3 linked regions of the Canis lupus familiaris genome follow. The protein of the gene in region 3 interacts with the protein of the main gene of each other region in a pairwise test. Links are inferred from orthologs where the notes say so. Each region holds a gene or a part of one and is shown on either strand. Other genes may lie near its edges. The genes, in order: AMOT, AURKB and SEPTIN1.

Region 1 (3,323 bases), on a different chromosome or scaffold from region 3:
AGCGAGGATGATATATACCAGGTTGGGTTTCTATCCTCCTGAAAGGAGCTCCTCCACATTCTGATATCTCACTGAGAGAACACTGATTGAATCCAAGGCCTTCAAAGATAAGAGTTCTGAGTTCTCCTTGGGTGGGAAGGAAGATAACTTCAGTTTCCTTTTAAAAATTCTCAGATCTGACCTTGCCACTTGAGATCTTTAGTCTTTGTCCAAAGCCCACGTGAGCTTCATGTCAGTCAAGATTTCAGAATTCCAGATCTTCTCTGTTCTTTCCTCCTATATAATAGAAGGACTCAGAGTTCTAGTTAAGCTAAATGATGCTGGGTGGCAGGTTTTTGTTATCAGAATGTTCTGAGATGAGAACTGAATGTACTTTTTCATTCCATTCCTGTCCATGCCTTCCCCTCTAATATTTTTTTAAATTTTTATTTATTTATGATAGTCACAGAGAGAGAAAGAGAGGCAGAGACACAGGCAGAGAGAAGCAGGCTCCATGCACCAGGAGCCCGATGTGGGAATCGATCCTGGGTCTCCAGGATCGTGCCCTAGGCCAAAGGCAGGCGCCAAACCGCTGTGCCACCCAGGGATCCCTAGGCCTTACCCTCTAATCAAAATCCCAGAAATATCATGGACACCATGAGGTACATTTTTAGATTCTGAGAAAACCAGCTTTGTATTTTAATTTTAGGTCTTTTTGTTGTTTCTGATATCCCTTTTAGTTGTCGGACACTTGCAGTGTCCCTTGGCTAGAGGACGCATTCCAGAGACCACGGTCTTGATTAGAACCTTCATTTACAAAATTATTTTCACATTCATCCATGACTACAAACTTATTTCCCCAATCCTTCCCAGCTGTCTGGTAGTGGATGATGTGGGTGATAAGTGGAACTGACTAGAAGCATTCTGAAAGCTCGCTGGAAATCAGTGGCTGTTGGAAAAAAATCAAAACTGATTCACAGGACACCTAAAAGTGTCATCCACGGTGCTGGGGTGGAGAGTGAGGACCAGGTGGGATGAGCCTGCCACACCCGCCTTCTGGGTTCTCTGGAGGCACAAGGAAAGTTCCTCCTGAACCTTCTACATGGAAGAAGAGGGCCAGTAGACGTGTGCATCTGGGTCCCAGGAGCCCATACCTGCCTAACCCCTGTCTCTTTCTCCCCTTATAGGTATTCTCCTGGGTGGAGACTACCGCGTCGAGTCCGTCCCTTCCACCCCATCGCCGGTGCCACCGTCCACGCCCCTGCTGTCTGCTCACTCCAAGACGGGCAGCCGTGACTGCAGCACCCAGACGGAACGGGGAACGGAACCGAACAAGACCGCCGCTGTCGCTCCCATCTCTGTTCCCATGCCAGCCGCTTCTGCCGCTGCTGCTGCCACCATCACTGCCAACGCTGCCACCAACACTGCCACCGCTGCCACCACCACCACCACCATGGTAGCCACCGCTCCAGTTGCCGTTGCTGCTGCTGCCGCTCCAGCTGCCACTGCCTCTGCCCCATCTCCGGCCGCTGCCACTGCCCTCGCTGCTACTGCTGTTTCTTCAGCTCCTGCCACTCCGATTCTCGCTGCTGCCTCTGCTGCTGCTGCTGCTGCTGCTGTTGCTCCCACTGCTGCTGTTCAGGTTTCCTCAGCTGCTCCGGCTCCGCTTCCAGCTTCGGCTACCGCTCCAGTTTTGGCTCCGCAAGCGTCTCAGGCTTCTGCTTCGGCTCCGACTCAGGCACCAACTCCAGCTCCGGCTGCGGCTTCTCCTCCAGCTCCAGCTCCAGCTCCAGCTCCAGCTCCGGCCCTGGCTCTGGCTGAGGCTTCTTCAAGTCCAGCTGCCAGTTCTGGGTCCCGTCGTTTGTCTATACCAAGCGTGACCTGCAGTCCCGATAAGACAGGTAATGATTGTCCATACTGGGGAAGCTTTGGGTTCTGCCCTCAATTACAGGTGGTTTGTTGACCCGCTGGTCACTTGGCCACAGTCGTTCATGTGCTAAAGGGAATGGATCACAAGGCACAAGGGCAGCATCTGTAAATGGCTTCTTGGGACACCAGGATGGGAACTGGGGTGAGCCAAGGCCCTTCTCCTAGTAGAAGCAAATGTTCAGGTGGACACGGGGAGGGGGTGTCAGGCAAGTCTCACTTTGCCATTGGCTTCGTGGCTCGGAAGGTGTCTGTTTCTAGGAATCGTCACCTTATCCCTAACTGCTTTCTAATCCCCTGTCTCTGTTTAGATGGCCCTGTTTTCCACTCCAATACTCTGGAAAGGAAAGCTCCCATTCAGCTCCTGGGACAAGAGCCTGATGCAGAGATGGTAGAATATCTCATCTAAACGGCACATCCGAGAACTGCGGTTGCTCAGCAAGAGTGCTTTTAATCATTTTTCCCTTTTGTTTGTTCTTATTTTGAGGGTGAGGACTAGGGTTGGGGGGGATGTTCTTTAAAGGGGCTTTCTATTGAGACGATGTAGTACTTAAGTAACACCATACAAACTCCAGCCTAGTCTGGTACACACTTAGAGCGTTACCTCTAAAGACCGATTAATCAGAATGTGCTCTAAAGTTTATTGTTGGGATTTATACAAATGCTAGGACTGTTAATAGCTGGATGTACATGAATGTTTTCAACGTGTGTCATTTTATTTAGCCTTGCCATATTCCAGATCATTTTTATTGAAGAGCACAGTACGTTTGGAAGGCAGTGTGTAACATGTAGTTCAGAAGTGGGAAGCTGGAGAGAATTTGCACATGTGCTGTTTTGTACACTTACCATCTAGGCAGCATCCAGAGAGAGAGAGCTCTCATCTTGGGCTCATGGAAGAGAATAGTTTCGGGAGCTATGTAAGCTGGAGAAAAGGCAGGGGATATTGGGGTGTGGAAGGGTGCTGGAGCTAATTTTCCCTCCCGATTTCCCAGCTGCCCTGTGCCAGGAGTTTGTTTATCTTCATTTCAGTGGTGCTTTGGAAGTGGATTCTTTTGGTTCCCTTGTGGAAGTTCATACATTTCATATATATACTCTGGAGTAATTTATGCATTTGGATAATTAATATATTGCTTTCAGATGCTAGGAGAGTAAATTAGCTGTGTGATGATGTATAACTTCCTCTTTCATAGGGAGTTAGACCATCAGAGGCCTTGATGGAGAGTTGCATGAGGTGCTGTGTGTGGCCACCAGCACAGCTCGCTTGCCTTTCCTGAGACCAATCTGCTTTGTGTTTATTTCTTCTCCAGCACAGACTCACTGGCTGTGTCACCAGTCTCAAATTTCCAGTCATTGGCAAAACGAGGAAGCATTTCTGGTGATGGGCCGAATGCTTTGAATCTCTGGTGACTACCTTGAAA
Region 2 (4,137 bases), on a different chromosome or scaffold from region 3:
CAGCGCTCATCCCATCCTATCAGGGAGGTAGGGCTCCGCCTCTGGGCAGATCTCAGGTGCTTGAGAGCAGCTAAGAGAGCAGTAACTAGAGACTTGGGGGGAACGCTGGGGCCTAAGAGGAGACACAAATTGCAAAAGGGAGAGGGAGATGCTGGAACACCAGCCCTCAGCGCTTGAGCCCCGCAAAAAGGCTTGGGACACGGACAGGAAAGGAGGGGCTGTCCCCTGCTGCCCTCCCCTGCTGTCTGCCCCAGGGACACGCGGGAAAGAAAGAGCGAAGGGTTGAACCCTTCAGTGATGTCTCCCCACCAAAGTATCGGTGTGTTGGGCATTAGGAAGGGCCTGGCCCTACAAATCAGACGACCCGCAGGTGGAACAAAATGGTTCAGCCCCGAGGTGCTACCAGGAGGTGCAGGGCCGCGGCTGCTCAGACCCTGCTGGGAGAACTCCCCAGAGCAGGCACCGAGCAGAGGGGAGGCAGCGCAGGTGGCGGGCACCGGGCGCCACCGTGTCTCGCCGCGACTCCGGGTGGCCCCAGAGCGAGGGCACGCTTGAGGGCGTTAAGCGCTTAGAGGCTCCCGGAGCCCGGAACCCTCTGCGAGGCCCTAAGACCTGGCCTTAGACACTCGTGCGGGCGTTTGCCTCGGATCCCCCTACCGTCTGGGGGCCTTAGGCGGCGGGGGGGGCTCCTGCCTGGCCGTCCTAGGAGGTAAGGGGAGAGCGGAGGGGAGTCGGGAAGATAGCGGTAACCTGATCGCACTGGCGGGAAGTCCTGCAACCAGTGCTGGTGGCCAGACCCGGCTCGGTGCCCCGATCCCGCCTGTCCCCGACCCCGCCCCGCCCCGCCCCCCATTCGTTAACGACTCCTCTTCCGTGGGTCTTCTCGGCCCCGGGAATTATTCCCTGGCCTGGGCCCTGGCGCTGCTCATCGCTCCAGGAGGGTGGACAGGTGCAGGGGCGGATGGAGGCGCAGGTGTGCACCTAGGCAGCTCAGGGCTCATTCATCGTCCCCAACCAGGCACCTCTGCGCCAGCGCACTGGGTCCCAGGGCGGCGGGCGCGGCCCGTTAGAGTCGAGACTCCAGGTGACGGAGACCGTGACCACGGCGAGCAGGTAGCCCCGGAGAGCTGCGCGGGGAGGGAGGGGAGCGCGGGAGGCCGAGACCACTCCCTCCTACTTCCCCGACGTTATTTCCTGGGAGGAGTCGGAGCGCGCGGGCGGCCGAGCAGATCCCCAGAGCCCGCTCGGGAGTCGGCGGCGTCGGGGCGGGTGGTCCCCGCGCGCTCGCCAGGCCGCCCCCACCCAGAGCCGTGGCCCTGGACCGCATCGGGCCTGCTACGACCTCTAAAGGCGTCCGCGAGCGTTCTCTCACGTCGGCTCGTTGGTCTAGGGGTATGATTCTCGCTTCGGGTGCGAGAGGTCCCGGGTTCAAATCCCGGACGAGCCCCATTTGGTTTTGGCGGAGACCGGGACGCCCGGAGGCGCTGGGGAAGGGACCGGCGCCGCGCGCAGGCCTCCCCGCAGACCCCGCGCAACCGGCCAGAGCCTGGAGCAGGTTCGCCGGGAGCTCTTTTGCTCCGAGCGCACAGCCCGGCCGGCCTGCCCGCGGGGGGCGCGCACGGGGAGAGCGCACCGACCCGGGCCAGCCCTTCGCCTTCCCGCCCCCTTCTTCCTGCGCAGGTCCGGGCCCAGGGGGCCGGGGCTGCGGATGACAGGGAGCGGAACGGGCCGGGACCCACCACGACCCGGCCTCCGTGGGCTTGGGGGCAGTCCAGGGCGAGCGGGGGGTCTCCGGCTGTCTCTTCCCAAGCGGCAGGAAGGGTGCAAGCCCCGGCCGATCGCGGCCACAGCTCCAGATCTCCGAGCCGGAGAGCGCCTCCTTCAGCTCCCTCCTCGTTAGTATAGTGGTGAGTATCCCCGCCTGTCACGCGGGAGACCGGGGTTCGATTCCCCGACGGGGAGAAGCGGTGTGCCTTTTGCTTTCTTTCGTTCTTCTCGTCCTACGATAAAATCCTATTCACGGTGAAGTATGCGTCCCAGGGCGTGCGGTGGAGATTTTCTTTAAAAAGAAGGGAGAACGGGAAGGCACAAAGTAGAGAGGATAGCTGGTGCTGCCCCTGGCGCTCGGGCTCATATTCTAAAAGTTCGAGTTTGTGTTTTGCATTCAAGCAACTTGCATGTGAATCGTGCTGCCGAATGAGCCCTCGGTCCCCTCCGTTCAGTGAATGTGCTTAGAGACGCGGTCGGAGCGAGGACAGAAGCGCGCCGTCACGGGGCTCCGCTGGGCGTGCAGCCCCCTGCGCGGGCGGTGACTGGGCCACAGGGTCCCCGCGGAAAAGCCATCCCGGCGCGAGGTTTTGAAAAGTTTGTGGGGAGGGGGAAAAAGTGCTGCGTTGGCCGGGAATCGAACCCGGGTCAACTGCTTGGAAGGCAGCTATGCTCACCACTATACCACCAACGCCCGCCGCAAGTCCCTGTTCCCCACGTCAAGGATTCAGTGCGTGCCCAGGCGCGAGGCGGAGCGGTGGGTGGGTGTGGGCCAGGCGGGGAGACCCAAGGGGACCCGAGACACCCCTGTCACCCCGGAAGGGACAGCGCTTGACCACGCACAGCCGGCACACGACAAAGCAAGATTCCGAGGACCTAGTGAAAGAGGCTTTCTGAGTCGCTGATAAAACCGGGGTTACATTTAAGATTCTAGGGGAGGGACCAGAGCTGCAGCGACACCGCGATGGCTTTGTCACCCCCGGAAATAAGTCACACTAGCTGCTTCTCTGTGTGTCCTGAGGTTAAAGAGCTGGGCTATGCGCCAAGAGCCCCTAAGCATAGATTGCGCACGAGGACGAGGTTCCATCCCCAGGTGACCGCGCACGGCTCTGGAGGTGACGCGGGCTGAACCCCCGGGGGGGCGGGGCTGAGGCTTTGGCTCCGCCCCCTGCTGCTGACGATAGTTCTGTTCACGAGACCCGGGCGACCGCGGACGCGGGAGGGCCTCGTGGCGCAACGGTAGCGCGTCTGACTCCAGATCAGAAGGTTGCGTGTTCAAATCACGTCGGGGTCACGGAAGGTTGCAATTTTCGTTATCTCGATTTGCCTTGGTATTTTCCTTTCCGGCAAAGGAAGAGGAGGTTGAAATTCGTTTCATTGTACCAAAAGAATACTAACTCCGGCACCTCTAAGGTTTTGTTTTTTTCCCCCGAAATGTATGCGTTTTCTAAATATTCTAAATACAAATTTAGGAATTAATGTTGCATCTGCACTGTTTTTGTCAAATCAGCGGATAGCGATACCTTTAGTCTCGTAGATGTTTTAGGTATCCTAACGCGAATTGTTCACGGAACAGCCTCGAGTTCTTGTTCAGAAAAGGTACTTGGAGCAATAGAGATTCATTGTTGGAAAGGGTGTGGCAAGAATTGATAATTATTATAAGTAGCAATTAATTAATTAAATGCAGATGTTCCTCAGACTTCCTAAATGTCCCAGAAGCCTGGAGCCGTGCAATTTTGCTGCTTCTGGTCTGTTGGTGGAGGCAAAGGGAGCAGAGGAATGCAGGCCAGCCACTCCATAGGCCTTCTCCTTCCCAGGGGGAAATTTCTTCCTGGACATCTCTTTCCTAACAGGGCCTCCGTTGGAGGGACCAGGCCTGGGCTGCAGAAGAGGAATTTGGGCGGGCTCAGCACCACGCGCCTGCTCGCCGGCTGGACACTGTGCCTCGCCTTCCGCGTCTGCTCAGCTCCCCAGCGGCTGTCCGGGTGCTCCAGCCACTCCACTCTGTTGGAGTGGTCACTGTGTCACCTGTGCAAAGACGGAAGCAGGGAGTCCGCCCTCACGGCTGAGCTGTGCGTGCTCCAACTGGGGATTGCTGATGACTTAGGAAGGCGACAGCAACCCAGGAGCTCCTGCAACCCTGCCTCGGAAGGCATGTGATGGGGGCAGCATGCAGCCCAGCTCCCCATCACTGCCCACCCTAAGCAGAGTACGTTTTAGGAGATAAAAAATGGGGAATTATTTTTTTCTGTCTTGCATTCAACATTTATTAGCTGACATTCATTCATAAGGAAGATCCTTCTCTCGTCCACTGGGGCCAGGGGATGTGTTAATCATAACCATAGCTGACCCACAGGGCTTGCTGTGGGC
Region 3 (4,196 bases):
CCCCGCTGGCCTCAGAAAGCATGCCCACCTTACTCACCCTCCACGGTACCCCAGGAGTAGCGGCGTCCCCTCACAGGCCGGGTCCCACCGTCCCTCACTACCTCGCAGGAACCAACAACTGCAAAAGGGATGCTTTCCTGAAAGGCAGGAGTCAGGGATCACCGGTGGCCCCTCTTGGGCAGAAACCTCGTTGTCAACCTCCACCTCTGCAGCCGCAGCCCTGGCTTCTTTGCCCCATCCTCCTTTGCATCTTTACCTTCATCTCTGCATCCTGCCTCTTGAAGTCCTCATCCTCATCAGAGTCACAATCGGGGAACTGGTAGATGTTGATCTCTTCCTCTTTCAACTGGTCCCTGATCTAGGAGCAGACAGATGCACAGACAGTGAGAAACAGAGGCTGTGAGCAGCAGACACTGCCTGGCTGGAGACAGTGAGATAAGGTACCAGGTGGTCAGAGGCAGGTGACATGAAAGGCAGATGGTGACATACAGGAGGCCCCAAACCAAAATCTCAGAAGGGTGCCTGGGCTGGCTCACTCAGTAGAGCATGTGACTTTTGACTTCAGGGTTGTGAGTTCAAGCCCCACGTTGGGTGTAGAGATTACTTAAGATCTTGGGGCCCCTGGGTGGCTCGGTGGGTGAAGCATCTGACTTGATTTCAGCTCAGGTTTTGATCTCAGGGTCATGAGCTCAAGCCCCTGTTGGGCTTAAAAAAATTTTTTTTAATTAAAAAAAATACTTTTATTTAAATCTTAAAAAAAAACAAAACAAAACAAAACAAAACAAAACAAAAAAAAACTCAAGTAATGAGAGAGATATATATGGTGAAAAAGAGACAAAGACACCCTAACAGGGATGACTGGAGCCTGGGAAGATTATAGGATGAGGCAAATACCAAAAGCCCAGGAGAGAGAGGCCTAAGCAGAAACAGTGAGAGAGGGCTCTGAAGTTACGATGGGGATCATCATTCCTTGCTGCCACCCTCAGACAGACAGGCCTTAGCCAAGCAACCAGTCCAGGGATTCTATTCCGAGCCTCCAGCTTCTTCAGCCAGCTTACTACCCACCTTCCTCAGAAACTCTCTCCTGCAGTGTGGTTTGACTCATTTTGCTTCCTTTCCCGAGATCAAAGAAGTCAAAGCTGATTTCAGGTTTGATAACAACTTTTGGCTTCATGTAGGGCCAAAGATCAGAGGTTACCAGACATACCTTCTGCTTGAGAGCCTGGGTCTCCTTAGGCATCAGGGCATCTGCTTTGCCAATGACTGGGATGATGTTGACCTTTTCATGTACTGCCCGGAGGAAGGCCACATCTAGGGGCCGGAGCCTGCGTGGAGTGATTGGTCAGGGTTCAGCCTTAGGCCACGGAAACCTTCCCTGCCCCTACCCAATACCTCAACCCTCGAGGGTGTCCCCCAGACCCTCGGCCAAAGGGTGAGATGAAGTAGAGGCAGCAGTGGACACGGGAATCCTGAATGTTCTTCCGGTTCAGGCCACTCTCATCCCTAAGATACTGCTCAAATTGCTCCTCAATGAAGCGCACCACAGGCAGCCAGCTGGGGTGTGGGGCAAGAGAGAACAGTCACAGGGGAGGGGCCACAGGGGAGGGAAGGGGTCGAAGCTAGCCAGGACCCTGGAGGTGGGAACTAGTTTCTTGGACTCTAACCAAAGACATCAAAGGAGATTGATGAGGTGTAGTTCAGCTGTTGGGAAGCCACATGGCCACCAGATGCAGACCCACCTTTTGGGGAGGGCAGGGGCAGAGCAGACCAGTCCTGTAACTGACCCCTCAGCCTTCACAGAGTAGCCACATGGGGAAGCTTAGCCCGCGCTCCTTCCATTGTTCTCACCAGTCTGAACAATCCACGGAGTCCCCAAAGCCAGGTGTATCCACCACTGTCAGCTTCACCTTAATACCCCCCTCCTCGATCTCCACACCCCGGCGCTCAATGGTCAGTGTTCGTGTCAAGCGAGCTGTGGAGATGAGAAGTGGTCAGGGAGCTTCGCAGGGGTCTGAGCCAGGTTTCCTTTCTCAGAATCCCAGTTGCCCCCACCCATTTTTTTCAGGGGAGTCTCAGAAAAGCACTGAGCTACCCGAGTGCCCCCAAAAAGTCAGGGGAGACCCAGATGAGTGCCACCTGGGGATAGGGGAGACAGAGGACCTGGAGAGGACAGGATGGTCTTACCGCTGGCCTCTGGCAGTTGCCGGTCCTCATAGAGATTGGTGAGAAACAGGCTGTTGATGAGGGTGGATTTTCCCAAGCCTGACTCCCCTGTGGACAGGACAGACCCACCTGGTCAGGTGAGGAGACAGCCAGGGTCTCTTGAGGACCCAGTCCCCTGTCCCAAACCCATCAGACCTGCCACCATGAGTGTGAAGTCGAAGCCCTTCTTGACGGACTTGCGGTGCAGCTGATTGGGGAGGGCGGCGAAACCCACATACTCCTTGTCCTGTTGCTAGGGGGCAGACAGTATGAGGCTGCTGGGAGCGGCAGGCAGGGCCCCCAGTGTAAGCTGACTTCTCCTTGGGAGTGAGGAGAAGTCAGCCTACCATGGGTTGACTTGGGCCTGGCGACTCCGGGGTTTGGGGGCTGAGGGCAAAGATGCCTGTATTCCTGGGCAGAAGGACTTACCATGGCCCTGCTAGCTGTCGCTGCACCTGCTGTCTCTCCCCACTTCCTCTGGTGGGGCAGGAAGTTGAGTGTGGCAAATAAGGGGGCGGGCAATGTAGGAAGCTGAGATGCTCGAACTGGTGAGGAAAGCCAAGACCAAGAAAACCTGGGAGTTCTCACTTTCTGGATCCCTTTGGCTATGCCCTCTTGGGAAGCTTCAACACCTCAGTTCTCTGCACACCCTTATTCCAAGCCCCCACTGTGACCCCATCACCCTGGTGAGAGGTGGGGTATAGGCAGAGAGGAAGGAAGCAGATTGGTGTCTTTAGCAAGTGAGATGAGACTTTGACTGAGATGGTTAAAAAAAAAGTTCCCAGAGACTAAGTGGACCAAAAGTCTTAACAGATTTAGGGGTGGAAGAAGCCATCAATTTTCCTTACCAGCTCATGCAATTGATTTTTTTTTAAAGATTCTATTCATTTATTCATGAGAGACACAGACAGAGGGGCAGAGACATAGGCAGAGGGAGAAGCAGGCTCCTGGATGGGGAGTCCAATGCAGGACTCAATCTCAGAATCCCAGGATCACGCCCTAAGCTGAAGGTAGATGATCAACCACTGAGCCACCCAGGTGCCCCTGATTCATTTTTTTCCCCCCATGCAATTGGTTCTTTTTCTTTTTCTTTTTTTTTTTTAAGATTTTATTTATTTATTTGATAGAGAAAAAGCACAAATACATAGAGTGGCAAGCAGAGGGAAAGGGAAAAGTAGGCTCCTCACTGAGCAGAGAGCCCAGTTGGTGGGGGGGGGGGGGGGCTCCATCCCAGAACCCTGAGATCATGACCTGAGCTGGAGGCAGACACTTAACTGACTGAGCCACCCAGGTACCCCTTCATGCAAGGGATTCTTTTTTTTTTTTTTTTTTTTTTTTTAAGATTTTATGTATTTGAGAGACAGAGAGAGCACAAGCAAGTGAGCAGCAGAGGGAAAGGGCGAAGCAGTCTTCCAGCTGAGCAGGAGCCCAAAGCCTGGCTCCATCCCAGGTCCCTAATGTGCTTCTGTGTGTAATTTTTTGGTGTGTATGCATTTTGAAAAATGTGTAGTGGGGATCCCTGGGTGGCTCAGCGGTTTAGCACCTGCCTTTGGCCCAGGGTGCGATCCTGGAGTCCCGGGATCGAGTCCCGCATCAGGCTCCCAGCATGGAGCCTGCTTCTCCCTCTGCCTGTGTCTCTGCCTCTTTCTCTCTGTCTGTCTATCATGAATAAATAAATAAAAGAAAAACCTTAAAAAAATGAAAAATGTGTAGTATACAGTGCATGTTTACACAAATGATTATATATATGAATACATATTTGTTAACTTTTTCATTCAGCACTATTTTTTTAAATTTTATTTATTTATGCATGAGAGACAGAGAGAGAGGCAGAGACATAGGCAGAGGGAGAAGCAGGCTCCCCCAGGGAGCCCGATATGGGACTCCATCCTGGGACTCCAGGATCACACCCTGAGCCGAAGGGAGACACTCAACCGTTGAGCCACCCAGGCGTCCCCAGCACTATTTTTTTTTTTAAGATTTTTAAAATTTAT

What was found.
Region 1: the proteins of SEPTIN1 (region 3) and AMOT interact in binary tests that used the Homo sapiens proteins (3 or more experiments, as listed by UniProt). The two-hybrid records come from large-scale screens. The link is inferred for Canis lupus familiaris from reciprocal best matches to the Homo sapiens genes SEPTIN1 and AMOT.
Region 2: the proteins of SEPTIN1 (region 3) and AURKB interact in binary tests that used the Homo sapiens proteins (3 or more experiments, as listed by UniProt). The link is inferred for Canis lupus familiaris from reciprocal best matches to the Homo sapiens genes SEPTIN1 and AURKB.

The regions. Positions count from the first base shown.
Region 1 is NC_049260.1:86,411,841-86,415,163, reverse strand, and holds part of AMOT (angiomotin), read left to right. Parts: intron 1-1,166; coding exon 1,167-1,880; intron 1,881-2,216; coding exon 2,217-2,314; 3' UTR 2,315-3,323.
Region 2 is NC_049226.1:33,232,045-33,236,181, reverse strand, and holds the start of AURKB (aurora kinase B), read left to right. Parts: upstream 1-1,213; 5' UTR 1,214-1,392; exon of another isoform or gene 1,393-1,447; intron 1,448-1,680; 5' UTR 1,681-1,907; exon of another isoform or gene 1,908-1,962; intron 1,963-2,389; exon of another isoform or gene 2,390-2,461; intron 2,462-2,989; exon of another isoform or gene 2,990-3,061; intron 3,062-3,620; 5' UTR 3,621-3,937; coding exon of another isoform or gene 3,938-3,976; intron 3,977-4,137. UniProt on the Homo sapiens protein: Serine/threonine-protein kinase component of the chromosomal passenger complex (CPC), a complex that acts as a key regulator of mitosis.
Region 3 is NC_049227.1:17,876,368-17,880,563, reverse strand, and holds the start of SEPTIN1 (septin-1), read right to left. Parts: upstream 2,849-4,196; 5' UTR 2,635-2,848; coding exon 2,632-2,634; intron 2,456-2,631; coding exon 2,359-2,455; intron 2,272-2,358; coding exon 2,185-2,271; intron 1,973-2,184; coding exon 1,849-1,972; intron 1,555-1,848; coding exon 1,420-1,554; intron 1,326-1,419; coding exon 1,208-1,325; intron 359-1,207; coding exon 257-358; intron 138-256; coding exon 38-137; intron 1-37. UniProt on the Homo sapiens protein: Filament-forming cytoskeletal GTPase. May play a role in cytokinesis.